Coturnix japonica: one gene and its partner. The protein of the gene in region 1 purifies or fractionates together with the protein of each later gene. This does not show direct contact. Links are inferred from orthologs where the notes say so. Each region holds a gene or a part of one and is shown on either strand. Other genes may lie near its edges.

The links. Proteins that work in one complex are often made in the same cells at the same time.
Region 2: the proteins of SRPRB (region 1) and SRPRA purify together in Homo sapiens (affinity purification with mass spectrometry; 6 studies listed by BioGRID and IntAct, counting the BioPlex papers as one, with this or other methods). This does not show direct contact. The link is inferred for Coturnix japonica from reciprocal best matches to the Homo sapiens genes SRPRB and SRPRA.

The regions. Positions count from the first base shown.
Region 1 is NC_029524.1:3,492,316-3,496,304, forward strand, and holds the start of SRPRB (signal recognition particle receptor subunit beta), read right to left. Parts: upstream 2,804-3,989; 5' UTR 2,768-2,803; coding exon 2,656-2,767; intron 2,579-2,655; coding exon 2,484-2,578; intron 2,405-2,483; coding exon 2,327-2,404; intron 1,138-2,326; coding exon 1,055-1,137; intron 782-1,054; coding exon 645-781; intron 1-644. UniProt on the Homo sapiens protein: Component of the signal recognition particle (SRP) complex receptor (SR). Ensures, in conjunction with the SRP complex, the correct targeting of the nascent secretory proteins to the endoplasmic reticulum membrane system.
Region 2 is NC_029539.1:318,432-321,840, reverse strand, and holds the end of SRPRA (signal recognition particle receptor subunit alpha), read right to left. Parts: intron 3,340-3,409; coding exon 3,221-3,339; intron 3,134-3,220; coding exon 3,047-3,133; intron 2,863-3,046; coding exon 2,690-2,862; intron 2,606-2,689; coding exon 2,392-2,605; intron 2,307-2,391; coding exon 2,143-2,306; intron 2,039-2,142; coding exon 1,940-2,038; intron 1,752-1,939; coding exon 1,623-1,751; 3' UTR 515-1,622; downstream 1-514. Other genes in the region: protein FAM118B, read left to right, coding at 1-6. UniProt on the Homo sapiens protein: Component of the signal recognition particle (SRP) complex receptor (SR). Ensures, in conjunction with the SRP complex, the correct targeting of the nascent secretory proteins to the endoplasmic reticulum membrane system.

The DNA of each region.
Region 1 (3,989 bases):
CTCTGCAGGAAAAGCTGTACGGATTGACCACTTAAGCCTGTCTAACGATCTCTAGCTCTTCAAGTGGTGCTTTTCTCCTAAGCTATTTGACGTATCTGACCTACGAATTCTTCCAAAGGCTGCTAGAAATGTTCTTGCTGAGTAGTCCAAGTCTACAACTAAATTTCTGTCTTCATTTTGCTGAAGCCCTGAAATTCTGAAGCCCTAAGAAATTCACCGTGTGTGGTGTAACACTATAATGTGATAAAAAACAAAGCAATGACAGCAGGGTAGCAAAGTCCCAGGCTTCAGCAAGTGAAGATAAGCCCCAGTGCAGCAGCCATAGACACAGAAACAAAGGAAAAAAAAGCTGCTTATCTGCAGGCCTCAGGTAGGCAGGGAGCTCCTCTCCAGCAAGATACCCCCTCCTCTCCACTGCCAACCCTTAAATGAGGTCTGGGAAGGGGTGCATCCTGGATCCACCCCTTGCAGCCACTCAGGTACACTGCATGCACCTGAGCTGCCCTGGGTTGGCCCTGCCTTCCATCAAGTGCTCAATCACTGCTTCAGGCCATGGCTTAGCATTTCTGCTACACAGGGCATTAACTCTAATAATTATTCGAGGACCGAATCACCACTCCCACCTGCAGGGCAGCAGCCAATACCTTGTTTATTGCAAGCGATCAGCAGCGCAGGTGCATTTTTGAGAACAGTGCTGTCAACCAGGACCTGGTACAGGAACTCAGCCACATCCTTCACCTCCCGCTGGAAGGCTACGCTGTCCACCACAAACACAATGGCCCTGAGAAAAAGAACACATGTAGGATCATTCTGTAACACAAAAAGCAGGTCAGCAGATGGGGACTGAAATACATTTCGTATTGATATCCAGCAGGAAACCCGTTCCCCTCTGTCCCAAAGACATACTACATGTCCTAAGCCTCCCCAAGGCAGTGCTCTGACTCCCAGGGCACACACAGCACAACCCCTACCTGGCTCACTGCACCCTCTGTGTCTCATCCCTGGTACAAACATCAGCTGGCCCCACCAGCGCCCCTGTCCATCTCCACATTACCTGGCTGCAGCCTTGAACCTCTCCAAGAACTGAAGTCGCAAGCTTTCGTGGCCTGGGAGGTCGATTAAAGTCACATTAGTGCCCTGGGAACAGAAGAGAGGAGGTGTTAACAACACTTACACCAGGAATAACGGCAATCACACCCCACAGAAAACCAATCTGGGAGCAGATTCCAGTCAGCTTGTGCCAGGGCAGCAGCACATGAGTGAACCTCATGCCGGACAGAAGTGTGTAATCCACCCCATAATGCAATCTCTCCACCACCCCCAAAGATTCTGACAGGCAAAGGAAATAGCTGAGGAACAACACTCATGGACAGGACTCTGTAAGGACGGCCAACACCAGCAAACCATGCAACAGAGCTGACTACCAACCACATCACAGCATGAGTGACAAGCCTTTGTGAGTTCCTTGGTCATTACACCAGCAGATTTACTCTGTCTCTGTTATATCTCTGCACAGCAAAATCACAAACTCCTGTTCTGCGCATCCCTGGTGCAGAATAATAACCCCACAATCTCTGAATGGGAATTTATGTGAATTCAAGCTGCAAATCAACCTAAATACTCAAAACACCGCTGGGAATAGCATAAGAACAGCCTTGCAAGATGGTCTTTGAATCAAAAGCAGTGAATGTTTCTCTTTCCACAGGCTATTAGACAGAAAAAGCAGTGATATGAAAGAGAACAAATGCCTCTCACATGCTCCTAATTGAGATGTAGCCACTGAGGGCCACATCAGCATTCTCAGGGTAACATCTGTTGTTACTGAGAGGGGGGAGGTTTCATAAGATCCCGTCTTCTGGGCTGCTTTTGTGTCTTAACACAAACTTCCAACCAGAAAAGCAGCATCCCAGCACCTCTCCTTCAAAACATCTCCTGTCTACTAAGTCCCAGAGACACAAAGAACTCTGCAGTCCTTCTGACTGCTGTTAATCCCTTGCTCTTACTGTCTTTAATAAAGACGGTTAGAGAAAAAGGCAGCAAAGCACCCTCTGCTTTCACACTTCACCAGCAGACACCATGCTGCCACCTCGTGCTTCACTGCCACGTGTGAGCCCGGCAAGAGACAGAAATGCTTCTGAAACTAAAAAGATCACCACAGAACAAAAGTAAACCAGGATGTGAAAGGTAACTGAACCCCCCTGGGGACTTTTTCCTTTGCAAACCTTTCTACTCCAGCTCAGCCATTCTCCCTGTGCACTAACTGAAAGCTGTACCATAGGTACAGGCTATGGGAAGCCTGCAAAGCACAAGAGGCACGAACGCTCACCTTGTCGTTGCTCACTCTGTACACAGCAGCGCTGTCGGTGATGGAGGTCTGAGTATCTCGGTACCTGCCCGTCAGCAGCTGCGTGGGGGAGAACAACCCTTATAAGCACCCTAAAGCCGCACGTATTGGACTGAGCAGGGCCCAGCTGAGCGCTCACCCGTGCGAACAGCAGCGTCTTCCCCGCGTCGCAGAGGCCCAGCAGTAACACAGCCCTGCGGCTGCTCCGTGCGCCCTGCGCGAGCCTCCACAGCACTGCGGGACAGAGGGAAAAGACACTGAGCACCCGCCGCTTCCCGTTACCTCCTCCCCCCCGCCGGGCAGCGACTCACGGAGAGTGAAGGCGACGACGAGCAGCGCCACGAGGACGGAGAGAGCGGCAGGGCCGGGAGACTGCAGCTCCCGCCGCAGCGAGTCCAGGTACGGCTCCACGGCGCCCGCCATGATGGCCCGCGTGCACACGTCCACACCGCCCTGCTTCCGCTTCCGGCTTCTTCCCCCCCACCAAAACCATCATGGCGGCGTGATGGGGGCGGGGGTGGCAGGGAGAGGTTGTGCCACACAGAGCACGGCACAGCTCCATGCACAGCTCCATGGCAGTGAGCACAGCCTAATGCTGGAGCTCAGGGAGCGCTGGGACACTGCTATGAGACATTGGGTTTGGAGCTGATGATCCTCCTGGGTATATCCTCCTTGGGATATCCTATAGATATCCCTCCTTAACAACACGTACACTTTCATGGAGGAAATAACACCTGCTAATTGGGATCTAGGGCATATTCAATCCATTTCGCTTCGAAACAGATTGAATGGGATTTCTCTCCATCAGGAGAGGGGTGGTCAGCAGGGATAGGGAGGTGATTGTCCATCTCTACTCGGCTCTTGTGAGGCCCCATCTGTTGTACTGTGTCCAGGTGTGGAGCCCTCAGTACAAGAAAGACATGGAGATTTTGGAAAGGGTCCAGAGGAGGGACAGGAAGATGATCAGGGGGCTGGAGCACCTCCCCTATGAGGACAGGCTGAGGGAGTTGGGTTTGTTCAGCCTGGAGAAGAGAAGGTGGGGTGACCTCACCTGCAGCCTTTCAATACCTGAAGGGAACTTACTGCCAGGAGGGGAGTAAACTCTTCGAAAGGGCTGATAATAGCAGGACACAGGAAATGGTTTTAAGTTAAAAAGAGGAAGATTTAGGTTGGATGTTATGGGGAAGTTCTTCACTAGGAGAGTGGTTAGGCCCTGGAACAGGCTGCCCAGGGAGGTGTGGATGCCCGTCCTTGGAGGTGTTCAAGACCAGGTTGGACAGGGCCTGGGCAACCTGATCTAGGTATGTTTGGTGGCCCTGCCAGGCAGGGGGTTGGAACTACATGATCCTTGAGATCCCTTCCAACCCGGGTCATTCTGTGATTCTGTGATTCTCTCATGGGCAGCAGGAACCTCAAATGGCATTAGCCAAGTTGGTGCCTGACACTGGTCTGCATCAAAGGGTGCTGGGGAAGGAATGTGTTTAATGACTTGAGAAACCTCAGGAAACGCATTTAGATGTTGAGATTTTATTTCTTGCTGTGGCAGGAGCAAAGAAGCCACGTTCAGAGTGATGAGGAAGGGCAGAGGAAGCAGCAATGGCAGAGGGCCCTCTGCACATCAGTGTTCTGTGCGGGGGGCACCGGA
Region 2 (3,409 bases), on another chromosome or scaffold:
ACATGATCCTCAGCCCAGCAGTGGTGCCGTGGGTGCCCCCCACACCACAAGCAGCCTCCAGCCTGCAGCGCCATGCGAGGGGAGGAGCAGCGCCCTGCTCAGAGCTGCTGCCTGCCACCGGGCTGAGCCACGCAGGTGCAAGGCAGAGGGCCGGGCCCATCCAGATGCCTGACAGCGTAGTCTGCCTTTTTTACAAGGCTGTGTTTGCTGGGGATGGTGATCTCCCCACCTCAGCTGTAATTTCGTACTTCATGCTTTTGTATTCTGTACTTTCATTTCAGAATGAAACTTGAGCAGTTTTGTTTTTTTTTTACTTGAAGCTCTAGTTTTATAGCCCTTCCTTTATACTGTACAGTATTTTGTATGTTGAAGCTCCTATTAAAGCTCTGTTCAGTTCCATTACCCTGCTGGCTGCTGTTTAGTTTGCATGCACCCATCCCAGGCAGAGGCAGCAACGTCTGCCCTGTGAGGAGGAAAGGGGTCCTGGCTGAAGGCAAGTTAGTTGTACACCGAGAACAAATTATGAAGTTTATTTATATAAATTATGTCTCTTAGCAGACAGCATTCAATTTATTGCACTAGAGCACATCTGCAGTACGGAGCTACAAGACATCGTAAGAGAGTTTTGTATTATTCAGTGTAGCACTTTAGACCGGGATCAAGAGGCACTAAAGGGGGGAGGAAGGGCGCAGGGAAGCAGCAAGCAGCCACCACCATCTTCCAGTATTTTCTTTTCCTTTTGTTACCTATTTGAGGCCAGCAGGCAGCAGAGACCCAGGGGCACACTGCCCTCCATCGCCAGCCGGTGGAACAACCAGCATTACCAGACCACATTGCTGCAGTTCTCAGGTACCCTGCAGCAAGAACCGCAGTGACAACAGAGATGGGGCCATAAGGCAGCTCAGCATCACCCCAGGAGCCCCTGCTTGCCCAGGACAGGGGCAGACTGTTGCCATTTTTGGTTTATCAACTTTGGTGAGCTGCTACAGCCAAAGTTAGCAGCACTGAGAACGGCCAGATGGGCTTAATGCTGTCACTACGCAGCAGATGTCCCTGTTGTACGGTCTGCGAGGGCACAGAAGAGCAGCTCGGGGCTCAGCACCCACCTGCAGCACGGCCCAACAGCCCACAGCTGCTGCTAGAGACAGCACAGCCCAGCACACAGCAGGTCCTTGCGCTGCCACTCAGATAACATGAACAATACAAAGCTCTGGTTTCAGCCTTCACGTGAGGGAGGCCGAGTTGTTGGAACAGAATGAAGGAACCCAGGGGCAGGGCTGTACTGAGAGAAGCCCCACAACTGAGGAGGGAGGAATGCTCCAAGTCGAGAAGAGAGCTTTAATCTACAAATACACCGTAGTCAATAAATATGGCAGGAGAGCACGGACCGAACTGGAATAAGCACAAGGTGATCAGGTAACACCTTCCTTCCTACTTTATACTCATGCAGTGCTGTTAGAGCACCCCAGCGAGCAGTCAGATCAGATGGGCAGGGGAAGCACAGCCCTCGCACCCGCATCCCTTCATTCTGTTTTGCACTACACTGGAAAGACTATCGCTCACAGGGTGAAGCATGTTCTTCTGAGACATCTGCAAACAGCAATTTGGTGCAATACTTGATTTTAGGCCTTCATGAGCGCTGCGACCACAGCCTTGGCGTTAAGGCTACGCAGATCACAGTAGGTTTGTCCAGTACCAACAAAAACGATGGGTTTGCTTGTGATGTAGGTCATGGAGATGGCAGCGCCGACCTGCCAAGGGGACGAGCACCATTAGCAGGGCCCCAACACCTCCCCACCACCTCTAAGAGGGGTCATAAGTGGCCCACTGAAACCAGCCCCTCTTTGTTGACTACTCCTCTTTCCCTCCTGTCACCAACAGGAAGCTCTGCAAGGCTAAGGCTGGTGATAACACCCAGAGCATGAAACGCTCCCCTTACCTTGTCATCGATGGTATCAAACTTGGTGAGCACAATGCCATCAATGAGCCGGGGTGTCTGGGCCATGGAGTGGTCAGCCAGGGCCTTGTTGAATTTGACCTGAGGAAGAGAACATCCTCAAGAACTGAAGTTGTGATGCTGACCCTGTCTGAAACACCTCCCATAAAACCTGCCCTTCCCAGACAGCAGCTCTGAACACTCACCAGCTGATCCACGGCCTCATTTCCCACCAGAGCTTCTCCAACGAAAAGGACCAAGTCAGGAGCATTGACAGCAATGAGTTTTGCCAGAGCTGTCATCAGGGGGGCATTGTCCTGCATGCGGCCCGCTGTGTCCACCAGCACCACATCGAAGCCCTGGTTACGAGCTGGGGAGAAGGGGAGAAAGCATAGAAGTAGGAGGAAGCCCAGGGGTCCCAGGACAGCCCCCTCCTGCCCCCGGCTCCTTCCTACCATAGGAGATGGCCTCCATGGCGATCCCCGCAGCGTCCTTCCCATAGCCCTTCTCATAGAGCTGCACCATGGTCCTCCCGCCGTGGCTCTCTGGGGGATGCAGGGCGTTGAGGCGGCGGGTGTGTGTGCGGAGCTGCTCCACCGCCCCGGCACGGAACGTGTCACAGGCAGCGATGAGGACACTGAAACCATTCTCGATGAGCCAGAACGAGATCTGTGACCGGCAATGGAAAAGCCCTGTTAGTGGCCACAGCCTGAACTCAGTCCTGGCCCAGGAGCCGCCAGCACCGTGCCCTACCTTGGCCAGGTTGGTGGACTTCCCAACGCCATTGACACCGCAGAAAGTGACCACGTAGGGCCGGCGGTGACGCTGCGCATCCATCACGTCCCGCAGGACGTCCACACGGCGCTGGGGCTGCAGGATCTGCACTAATGCCTCCTGCAGGGCCTGCTTCACTGTTGAGGTCACAGCTGGGGAAGGGGAGATAAAAGGAGAACTTGTCACTCCTGGAAAGCCCTGAGCCCCAAATCACCAACACGAGGAAACCAGGAAGGCATCTGGGTATCACAGCTTCACCAGGTCAGGGAAGCAGGGGACTCAGGCCAGCAAGCTGCACAACACCAATAAGAACACAGCCAGGGCACAACCACTTACTGGTGAACGTTCCCATCACTTTCCCTTCCAGTTTCTTTGCCACTGATTCACAGAGCTGGACCGCAATTTCAGCTGCCACATTTTTTGCTTTGGGAGAAAGAGAAGAGAGCAGGGTCATCAAACCTCTAAATTACACCAGTAAGACAAAGCCACGCACAGCAGACCCACACGTACCAATCAAGTGATCTTTCATCTTCTCCAGGACTGGGTCCATGTCCTGTCTTGTCAAGCTCTTGGAGCCCACCAGGCCTTTCAACATGCCAAACATACCTCCGAGGCCACCTTTCTTTGTGCTGCACAGAAGCAGAACAGTTATCTTAGGTGTGAGCTGCATAATGCAAGCAACAGCAAGCAGCAAGGAGG